2 linked regions of the Arabidopsis thaliana genome follow. The protein of the gene in region 1 interacts with the protein of each later gene in a pairwise test. Each region holds a gene or a part of one and is shown in the gene's direction. Other genes may lie near its edges. The genes, in order: MEE3 and AT1G68160.

Evidence for each region.
Region 2: the proteins of MEE3 (region 1) and AT1G68160 interact in a two-hybrid assay, tested with the Arabidopsis thaliana proteins (one study listed by BioGRID).

The regions. Positions count from the first base shown.
Region 1 is NC_003071.7:9,257,587-9,261,436, forward strand, and holds MEE3 (Homeodomain-like superfamily protein), read left to right. Parts: upstream 1-1,924; 5' UTR 1,925-2,067; coding exon 2,068-2,348; intron 2,349-2,808; coding exon 2,809-2,833; 3' UTR 2,834-3,111; downstream 3,112-3,850. UniProt on the Arabidopsis thaliana protein: Probable transcription factor. Required for female gametophyte development.
Region 2 is NC_003070.9:25,545,166-25,550,706, reverse strand, and holds AT1G68160 (ZZ-type zinc finger protein, putative (DUF3755)), read left to right. Parts: upstream 1-1,812; 5' UTR 1,813-2,081; coding exon 2,082-2,362; intron 2,363-2,464; coding exon 2,465-2,564; intron 2,565-2,955; coding exon 2,956-3,012; intron 3,013-3,153; coding exon 3,154-3,271; intron 3,272-3,814; coding exon 3,815-3,897; intron 3,898-3,976; coding exon 3,977-4,038; intron 4,039-4,113; coding exon 4,114-4,183; intron 4,184-4,488; coding exon 4,489-4,539; 3' UTR 4,540-4,949; downstream 4,950-5,541. Other genes in the region: WRKY9 (WRKY DNA-binding protein 9), read right to left, coding at 5,092-5,403.

The DNA.
Region 1 (3,850 bases):
TTTCACAGCTAAAGAATTTACCTAAACTTATGACTTAAATGTGGGGAAAGTGTTCCTTTTTTACCATTTCAATACCTAGGCAAAGAAGGTCGCTGTGAAGCATCGTGACGATGAGAATATCAGTAGTGCCCCAATGCCTACTAGCAGAATTTCTTGGCAACTTGCAATCTATTATCTCTCTGGAATATATTGTGCCCCAAGGCCTCATTATTGTTAAGATTCTTTCTCTGTTTAAAGTTTTCCTTCTCGATAAGAAGTTTCGCCGCCCCTACCCTGAAACCAAACCATGACATCTTAGAAACAGAACCATCCATTATCATAACTAGAATAAAAATATCTTAATAATATAAGTGCTTATATTGGCATATATCCAGAAAGAGAGCAAATTAAAGTATCATAAGACCTATACACGTAAAGGAATATCATCTTACTTAGCAAAACTAATAACATTTAGTGAAATGGATAAACACTATTATCAAGAAAGATCCGAGAAGTATGGTTCTTAAATAGCTTTACTTTAAAAAGTGTGTAGACAATAACTTTATATAGTCTTGTGGTCTTTTGATAACAAACCTGATTCAATAGTGATAAGATATGAGTATGGTCCTCCATCTCCCATGGGACTTTGAATCACCTGTGTTTCCGAGAGAGGGAAAATCTTGAGACTTTAAATCAAAATGTCAACTTTATTATGAACTAAAAATCAAACAACAAGTGGATCATTAATGAACAACCTTTGTTGCATGAAAAGAAAATCTTCAAATCTTTTAAAGAATGAAACAAAATGCTCACTTTCTGAGATAAAACCAAACAACAAGTGGACCATTTATGCATGTTGTCTTTTTGCCAAGTATGTATATTATTAGTCCTATTGTGCATTATTTAGCAACCTAATTTAGTTATATGACAATAATCTATTTGCCCATCCCAACCCTGGATTCTTACCAAACAAGGTAATTAAAGTGTTCATGTGAAACATTAATGTTTGTATTTTGTAATACGACAACTTTTGGTTCCCGCCCATATTCAATAATGCAGACACTAAAGAACAGAAGAAACAATTTGAATATCCACCAAGAAAAGTGATTATTTAACAAATTAACAACCAAGAATCTACATTAGACAATATATGACCAAGAAAAACACAGTTGCCTAACTTCAAGGAGATGGACCCAACAAGCCAAGGAAAAAAAAAGGTAGGTAAACAATGTTGACGTTTATTTTTTTCAACAACAAGAAAACACAGAAAAATGTCGATGATTGTACGGAAAGATCATCAATACAGCTAGATAAATTGATATGGTTTTCATGGCAGAGAATCTCAAGGTAAAGCTCTGCCCCCACTTTTCTTTAAGAATTCTTCTTATACAAGAGAATATATGACTTATGGTGAACACACGAAAAGCTCCAACTTTGTGTTTGTGGATACAAATTAATCCTCACAATGTTTCAAAATCACTGAGATTTTTGATAAGAAGGAAATCTGATTAGTCAATGAAAATCATCTGTCAATAGAGACTTGTCCCTAACTTTCAACCAAAGACTTGTAATTTTCCGCGAGCACGTGAGCTTTGTGCTCTGATTAGAGACCAGACTGTTCCATGAATTAAGTACCATAGGTAGAGAGATTTTCCTAACTATTTATTACCTAAACTGTTTCTTTTTGACAAGAAGCTTAATCTAGAGAATGACGTCATAACCACTAATTGGGAAAGAAAAGTAAACATATTAGTTATAACATTTATAGAAAAGTGTGTCTAGGGAGCATCATATGCCAAATATGGATGGAAAAACGCAATCTTTGGTTGATTAGTTTGGATCTTTGATACTGATCTCCACAAAAAAATTTGCTCATATTCTTTTCTAGCTATAGAGACAAAGACTTAAAATTCTCTTTGTTTTGGCAAAGATATCTTTTAACAACTGGCCCTACCCCACACCAAAACCTCTTTATAAAGAGCAAGGACTCTGCGACATCTGTGCAACATATCATTTCCTCAGAATCTCTTTCTTTTCTAGGTTTATTACTACACAAAACCAAACATCATCAACTTTAGTTACTAAACAATGGCATCAGGCTCAATGTCTTCTTATGGCTCTGGCTCATGGACTGTTAAGCAGAACAAAGCCTTTGAGCGTGCTCTAGCAGTCTATGACCAAGACACTCCGGACCGTTGGCACAATGTTGCTAGAGCTGTTGGTGGTAAAACACCAGAAGAAGCTAAGAGACAGTATGACCTTCTAGTTCGTGACATCGAAAGCATCGAGAATGGTCACGTGCCATTCCCTGACTACAAGACTACTACAGGAAACAGCAACAGAGGCAGGCTGCGTGATGAGGAAAAGAGGTATATTTGTTGCAATCTAATAAGACACAATTTATGCTAATAACAAGTAATCAACTTTGTTTATCCATAATAGCCCACTATAAGATACTTCTATAGACAAGTTCTATTCCAATACCATGACAAGAAAACATAAAGGGCATGTCTGTTTCAGCATAAAGCTTGTTACTTTACAGAGATTCTCTTGACTTTCTATCATATTGAGTTATAAGAGGCTCTAAATCAGCCAAGTGTTCTCTTCTCAGTGTTCTTCAGGCTTTATCAGAACCAAAACTAAAAGCTCCCACAACAAAAAATATGCCTAGAAATAGAATCATTCCTTGTCAATATGGTATCTAATATTAATCGATTCCCAAATCTTTCCCCTAAGAAACTTCCAGAAACAAAAATAAACCCACTCATCATCATGAAACTCGAACCAACAACATTTTAACCTGTTTAACATTTTTTTTTTTTATTGCAGGATGAGAAGCATGAAGCTGCAGTGAGACAAGAAGCAACAAAACCTAACTACGTATGATCGTCAAAATAAAAGAGAATCACTTCAGAGAGATGTGTTTTTTTCAATGTCTGACGAATCAATGTTTTTTTCTTGCAATTTCTCATGTTTTTCCCTAAGAAATGGTTTTTTTTTCGAGGCAACAAAAAAAAAATAACACTCGAATTTGTTAACCAAAATCTGTATTTAGGGTTCTTCGTAATGAAAAATCCAATGTCTAAATGTTAATTATATATTACAATTATGCTTAAAACGAGTAATTCGTTCACGGACCTTGAAATCAACGAATCAATCTCTCAACCAATCTGAATCAATGTTGCTTCAAAATGGAAAAATCCAAATTCATAAATCAATTAAATATTGATCTTAACTATATATTGGAGCATCCAATAATGCAAAGTATGCGAATCGGACAAGAAGAAGTCTCGAAATCAACGAATCAATTAACCAATCTCTATTTTTAGGGTTCTTCGAAATTGGGGAATTGTTTCAATATTTAAACTCAAGTGTTGATAATTGGTGAATCACTGTTTATGGAGAATCTAACAATGTCACGGGACGAGAAGAACTCACCTCGAAAAATCTGCAATTTCTGATCGCAATCTTCAAATTCCAGCGAAATCGATGAGAGTTTCAATTTGGGAATTTCATAGATAAACCCCAAATTTCAATTTTTTTTATTTTCTGGGTAGATAATTAAAATTGGGCGGGAAATCTGATGCTTCCAAAAATAGGTCACGTGCAATTAACTAATTATACACACATATACCGTGCGGATACGAATTTGTGTCCTTCTTACAGTATACGAATACATGTATATGTCTCTCACCGTATTCTTCTTTTTTTTTTTTGGTAAAATACAGTATTTTATTTTCTTTAAAAGTATGTAATAATGGGCAAAAAACTTTGTTTTGGATCTTTTCTCAAACATAGCACATTAAGTTTAAGATGATTGAATAATACGTTCTAAGTTTCTAACTATTGTTCCAAATATGTAACTAAACAA
Region 2 (5,541 bases), on another chromosome or scaffold:
TTCTAAACATATTACGAAAAATTAATATGAGAGAGTGGTTTCAGCAAAATTAGCTAGGACTTACTTACATGATGAGGACTATATATATGAGAAAAAAACTGTGAATTAAGGTTGGGATTAAAGTCTTAAAGAAACCAAAAGCAGGGATAATGTAGAAATTTGGAGATGCTAAGGCCACAAGTTAATAGTTGAGACTTGATAGATATGATAACTTATTTGTTTTGTTTTTTGTTTTTTTTGTAGTTAATAACATTGTAAATCAGTAAAACCAAAATCTAGTTCCTGCCAACAATTTTGAAATTAAAATGTATGGATCACCTTAATGAGCGAAAGAGTGCATCAAGTCCAACAACAAAGTCTTTCTCTTCTTCATAACATAATGTTCGGAGTTAAATTAACTTGAATGAAACAAATCTTTAATTAATTATATTGATTTGCATTATTAGGAAACTGTTCAGATTAGCCTACCAAAAAAAAGGAAACTGTATTACTGTTAGTGGAGCAAGTATAATGTGCAGTTTATTGGGCTCATAGCATTTTAGAGCCCAAATTTATTCGTTTCTTAAGCAAAATCTTAAATGCGTATAAAATTAGTCTTTTACAAATATAGCATGTGGCCCAATATAAACGTCAGGCCTGATAATATGTTTAAGTGTCCATGACTTTTAACATGTTTCATTTGATAAGCATTTTTTACCAGAAGCTTATGTTAATTCACTTATACGGGTTGGGGATAATGAAAATTGAATTTGGACTAATAGAGCATACATCAATCGAGGAAAATTGCAACGACAAAGAAACGACGGTACATCAATTTTACCTTAGTAAAATCTTGATAAGATTTGAAGTGTGAGTTAATAACAAATTTTAAAAAACCTAACTTATCTAGTGAAAAAAAATGAAAATTATAAAAGCTGATGGCATTTAGATAGTAAACAGAAATCAAAATTGTTAAGTGATAGTAGTCTTGTTGCAAATGATAAGTCCACTGAGAACATGACATCGAGGATCGAGTCTCGCTCCTTATAAATGTTGACAAAAAAAAACAGAAATCAAAACATCATTTTGGTGTATGAATATATTTCTTGATCTATTTAGTGTATCAATAATTTCTTAAATATCAAAAAAAAAAAAAAAAACTCTTCATCGATTTTTATATGCTTGCTTCTGTTATTGGTTCATAACTATGAGTCCAATTATTTTCATAGTCGCATATAATTGTAAAAGTATTGTACGAACGGATCAGTTTATCCCACAATTATTGAGATGCTAAGATTAATTTTTGTATTAACATAAAGAAAAAATATGAATCAAATTCATATATCTTGAGATTTTGACAACGAGGATGTCACACATTGACATTATTAGAAAACAAAAAAAAAAAAAAAAAATCTTGTCTACTTGATAAAACTTTTTGGAATAAAAAAAGTGAGGTAGAAGAAAGAAAGGCATCAAATGCTTTATTATTGGGATTCGCACTATTTACTAAATTCCACGATCTGCCAACCATCTCTTTTATTTATTTACCTATTTTCTTATTTTTTTCTACTAATTTTGGTAGTAAAAAAAAAAAAATGAATATGTTCTTAGTCATATCTCTCCCTTCAATTTAGGAAGAGAATCTTTTCTAAAATTCCCCATTCCTACTTACTTTTATAGTCAAAATCCATTTTTTTCCATTTCAACTAATTGTGTTGGAAAATAATTAATATTAGATTTCAATTAAGTTTATCATCAATATGGTGAAAAGTCATAAAGTAATGTATTAATAATTTTTTCATTATTTGTCTAAAAATCCTTCATTGGCTTATAGCTTACAAGGCTGCTCTGTCTAATATACAGAGGACAAGAGAAAAAAAAAAAAAGAAAAAAAAAATTGTGATTTGGTAAACAAAATCAAATTTTGGTTTCTTTGTGAGAACTTAACTTAGGGTTTATAAAGTTCCAAGCTTTATCCATGGCGTAAGATGATTCACCTTCTCAAAGTTTGATCCTTTTTTCATATCTGATCAAAGGAGAGTTTTGGGTTTGATTTCTAATTGTTAAAGTTTTAATCTTTTTATTTGGGTTTGTGTTCGATTATGTGGATGGCTACTCAATCAAATTCTGGGTTCGATTCTTTGAGTTCTATGATGAGTCGTCACGCTATTAATTTCCAATCTAACACTTCTTCGGAGATGACTCCAATGAGTCCGTACTTGGGGATGAATATGAATATGATCAATGTTGGTTCTCCTGGTTTTCTTCAAACCGGGAATTCTTCGAATGGTTCCGATTCGGGTTCTGGTCTAAAGCTTGATACTTCCATGGTTAGTGAATGGTCAAATGAAGAACAATACATATTGGATGCTGGTCTTGAAAAGTGAGTCTTTCTTGTTTTGTGATTTCTTAACATTAATGAGGATATGAAGATAGTTTTTTGTTCTGTGGAATTTGATATGATCTGATTCTGTGTTTTTTGTAGATATAAGGATATGCCAAGTATTGATATGTATATTCAAATTGGAAACACTTTACCTGATAAAAGTATTCGAGATATTGCTTTGCGGTGTAGGTGGCTGAGGGTAAGTATCTCTCTTCACATATCTGCCTTGTTCTGACGGTTTTTGTAGCTTTCTTGTGACCATTTTTCAGTCATGTAGTTCTACGCTTATGCCATGAATGATATATGTATAGCAAAGAAAAATGATACACAGGGAACAGTTTCTACATGTTCTGATTTCATACATAGCTTCTTAAACTACAGTACACAGAATGAAATGGTTTTGCCTTAGGATGGACTTTTTGGTCTTATTGATGCCTGAGTTGTATCAATATTGAGTTCTTGAGATGAGAATAGTGAGCATAACAGTCTTTGAGTTTTGAACAAAATCTTCTCTTCTCTTATATACTGAATCATTTCTTACTTTTACCTTTTGTCTTCGTCTGTTGATGTACTGACTTTGTTTTGCATAGAGAAAGAGAAGAAAATCAGAAGAATTAAACTGTGGAAGAAGAGCAAGTTCTAGCAAGGTATATTGGAAATTCTTGCCATTTGTTCAATTTTGATGAGTGACTTTTTTGTAAGTTCGATTGAAAGATGATGCTAGGATTGAGATTGAATATCTTTTGATTAATTTAGGTTTTTGTACTAAAAGATTTATATTTCTTCAGGGCAAGCAGGTGGAATCGTCGTCTAAGTCAAGCATTCCCTCTGTTTTGCCTCATAACATGGCTTCATATCCTTTCTCAGGGCCATCTACAAGCACCAGTAAACAAATTACGTCTGAAGGTTAACATCTATCTTTATCTGAGAGATTTCCACCTGAATTTGCTAACTCCAGGTCTTTTTTTTCATTGACATGCACACATTAACATCATATTTTGTTTTCAAAAGGAGGCAATACGTTTTGATGTATGTATTATGGTGCAAATGTCGTTTAAGTATGTATTTTGTTATATAAATAAGTTCATAGGGGATTAGTGTATTTCAGCTAGACTTTTAGCTTCTTGGGACGATGCTAACATAACTACGTCTCTAAAGTAGTTTAGTCTTGGAAGAAGCCTTTACCCATAGATACTGAAATTGGTTTCTTAACTGCATTGTCCTTCTCTAGAGGTGCATTCTTGAGATTATTTATTTCATACATCTAGTAAAGGAGTATAATGACTATTGTATGTTTAAATGGTGAAATTCTATTTAAGTCCGCTCTCTGATCCTATTACCTTGTAAAGATGATCCTTTAAGCTCTCTTTCATATGAAGTTTTGTTGAAGTCACAATAATCTTTAGTCTCTTTTCTTTTCTTACTGATTCTTTCGTGGTTCTGTTTCAGATTTAAGTAGCTATGCAACAAATCTTATAGAACAGAATGTACGAGCTTTTAGTCAAATTAGAGCTAATCTCTCCTCATATAAGGTAAGTTCTAGATTACCTTGTTTAAAGGAATGCAAATGTGTTCTTGCTAAAACCGCTCCGTAATGATAATTGCAAACAGGCAGGGGATAACCTAGATCTCTTTCGTCAGGCAAGGAACAACCTTATCACCATCCAAAATGAGTAAGTTGATACTTTAAACATTTTGTGTATAAGTTTTGTGGAGCTTAGTGACCAGACGTTGTCTTGATTTGGCAGGATAAATAATATGCCTGGATTGATGAACAAGATGCCACCATTGCCAGTCACAATCAATGATGATCTCTCGGTGAGTAATACTACTTTAGTAAGTTAATAGGCTGCTCACTTTTGCATTAACAGTCCATTGTTTTAGATATCAAAATGTCCACATCACCCATTTGCTTGTTTTACCTCAGACACTACCGTAGTTCAAACCCCATATCTCTGGTTCAAGTGCTCAAAATATAGAATTATTGTGCTTCTAACTAGCTGAGTATCTTAAGACCAGTTTTTCAATGTTTTGGTTTGTAGAAATGTCTATCAAGAGCAAATAGAGCAGAAGAATAATAGCTTCCCAATATCAATGACTTTGGTTTCCTCGATTTGTACCAGGTGATGATGCCATTCAATACGATGCAAAGTGGCGGCTTCCATAGGAAGTAGAAGTCTTAGGAAATCATCTGGTTTCCCTTAGTTACCTGTAAATTATCCTAAAGAAGCTGGAGGAGGTAAAAAAAAGCTCATCAAATGTTGGGAAGTTTGTAGAAATGTGATTCTTTCGTAACACCAACGATCTTTATTGCTGCGCGGGATGTTGAAACAAGACATAATATAACGAATGTAGGGGTTCTTGGTCCTGGCTCCTAACTAAAAAACCTTCTTAACAAGTTCTATTAGATAAACTTAGTTCAATTAGTGTCTTGGAGAATTTCTAAGCGATCGATGTGTATAAAAAAAGATTCTATTGAAGAGCGTGTTGAGATTTGCATCTTTAATCTTTTGATCTTTTGGTGTGTTGTTTTGGTACCCATTTTTTCTTAGCATTAATCAATCTTTATTTTTCATAAGCCAACATTGAACGAAATAAAACAATCCGAAACCTTCGATGTTGTATATACGAAACATAAATGTTAGAAACGAGAACAAGAAGAAAGGCAAAGAATCCATAATGACAAATAATGGGACCAAAGAACAAGCATAGAGATATAGGAAACTCTACATCATCCAATTTAATCGGTTTTGAGAAGATGAAACGTGATCTCCTCTAGATGGACCATCAAAGTTCAAGCTTCTTATGGTTCGATTGTTGTAGCTGCTATTTTGTGGGTATGTAATCAAAGAAGAGTCTATGGCTTGAGGAGTTTGGTAATAGGAAGGATGAGAGAGGTTGTCACTGGAATCGAGTAACAAGAATGGAGAAGTAGAGGCAGTGGAAGCCATGGCTGTTGCTCCGACCGGAAGTGGATGGTTATGTGTTCCTTCGTAGGTTGTTATCAGTATTGACATGTCTTCTAAACACCTTTGCACCTTCACAATGTAACAAATCTCATTATCAACTATATATATATACATAGTTTCATTCCATTCAAATGTGGTTATGACATGCTATGAATTCTACATTGGACATAAAGTAATATATAAAGTACATAGACGAATCAACTCATT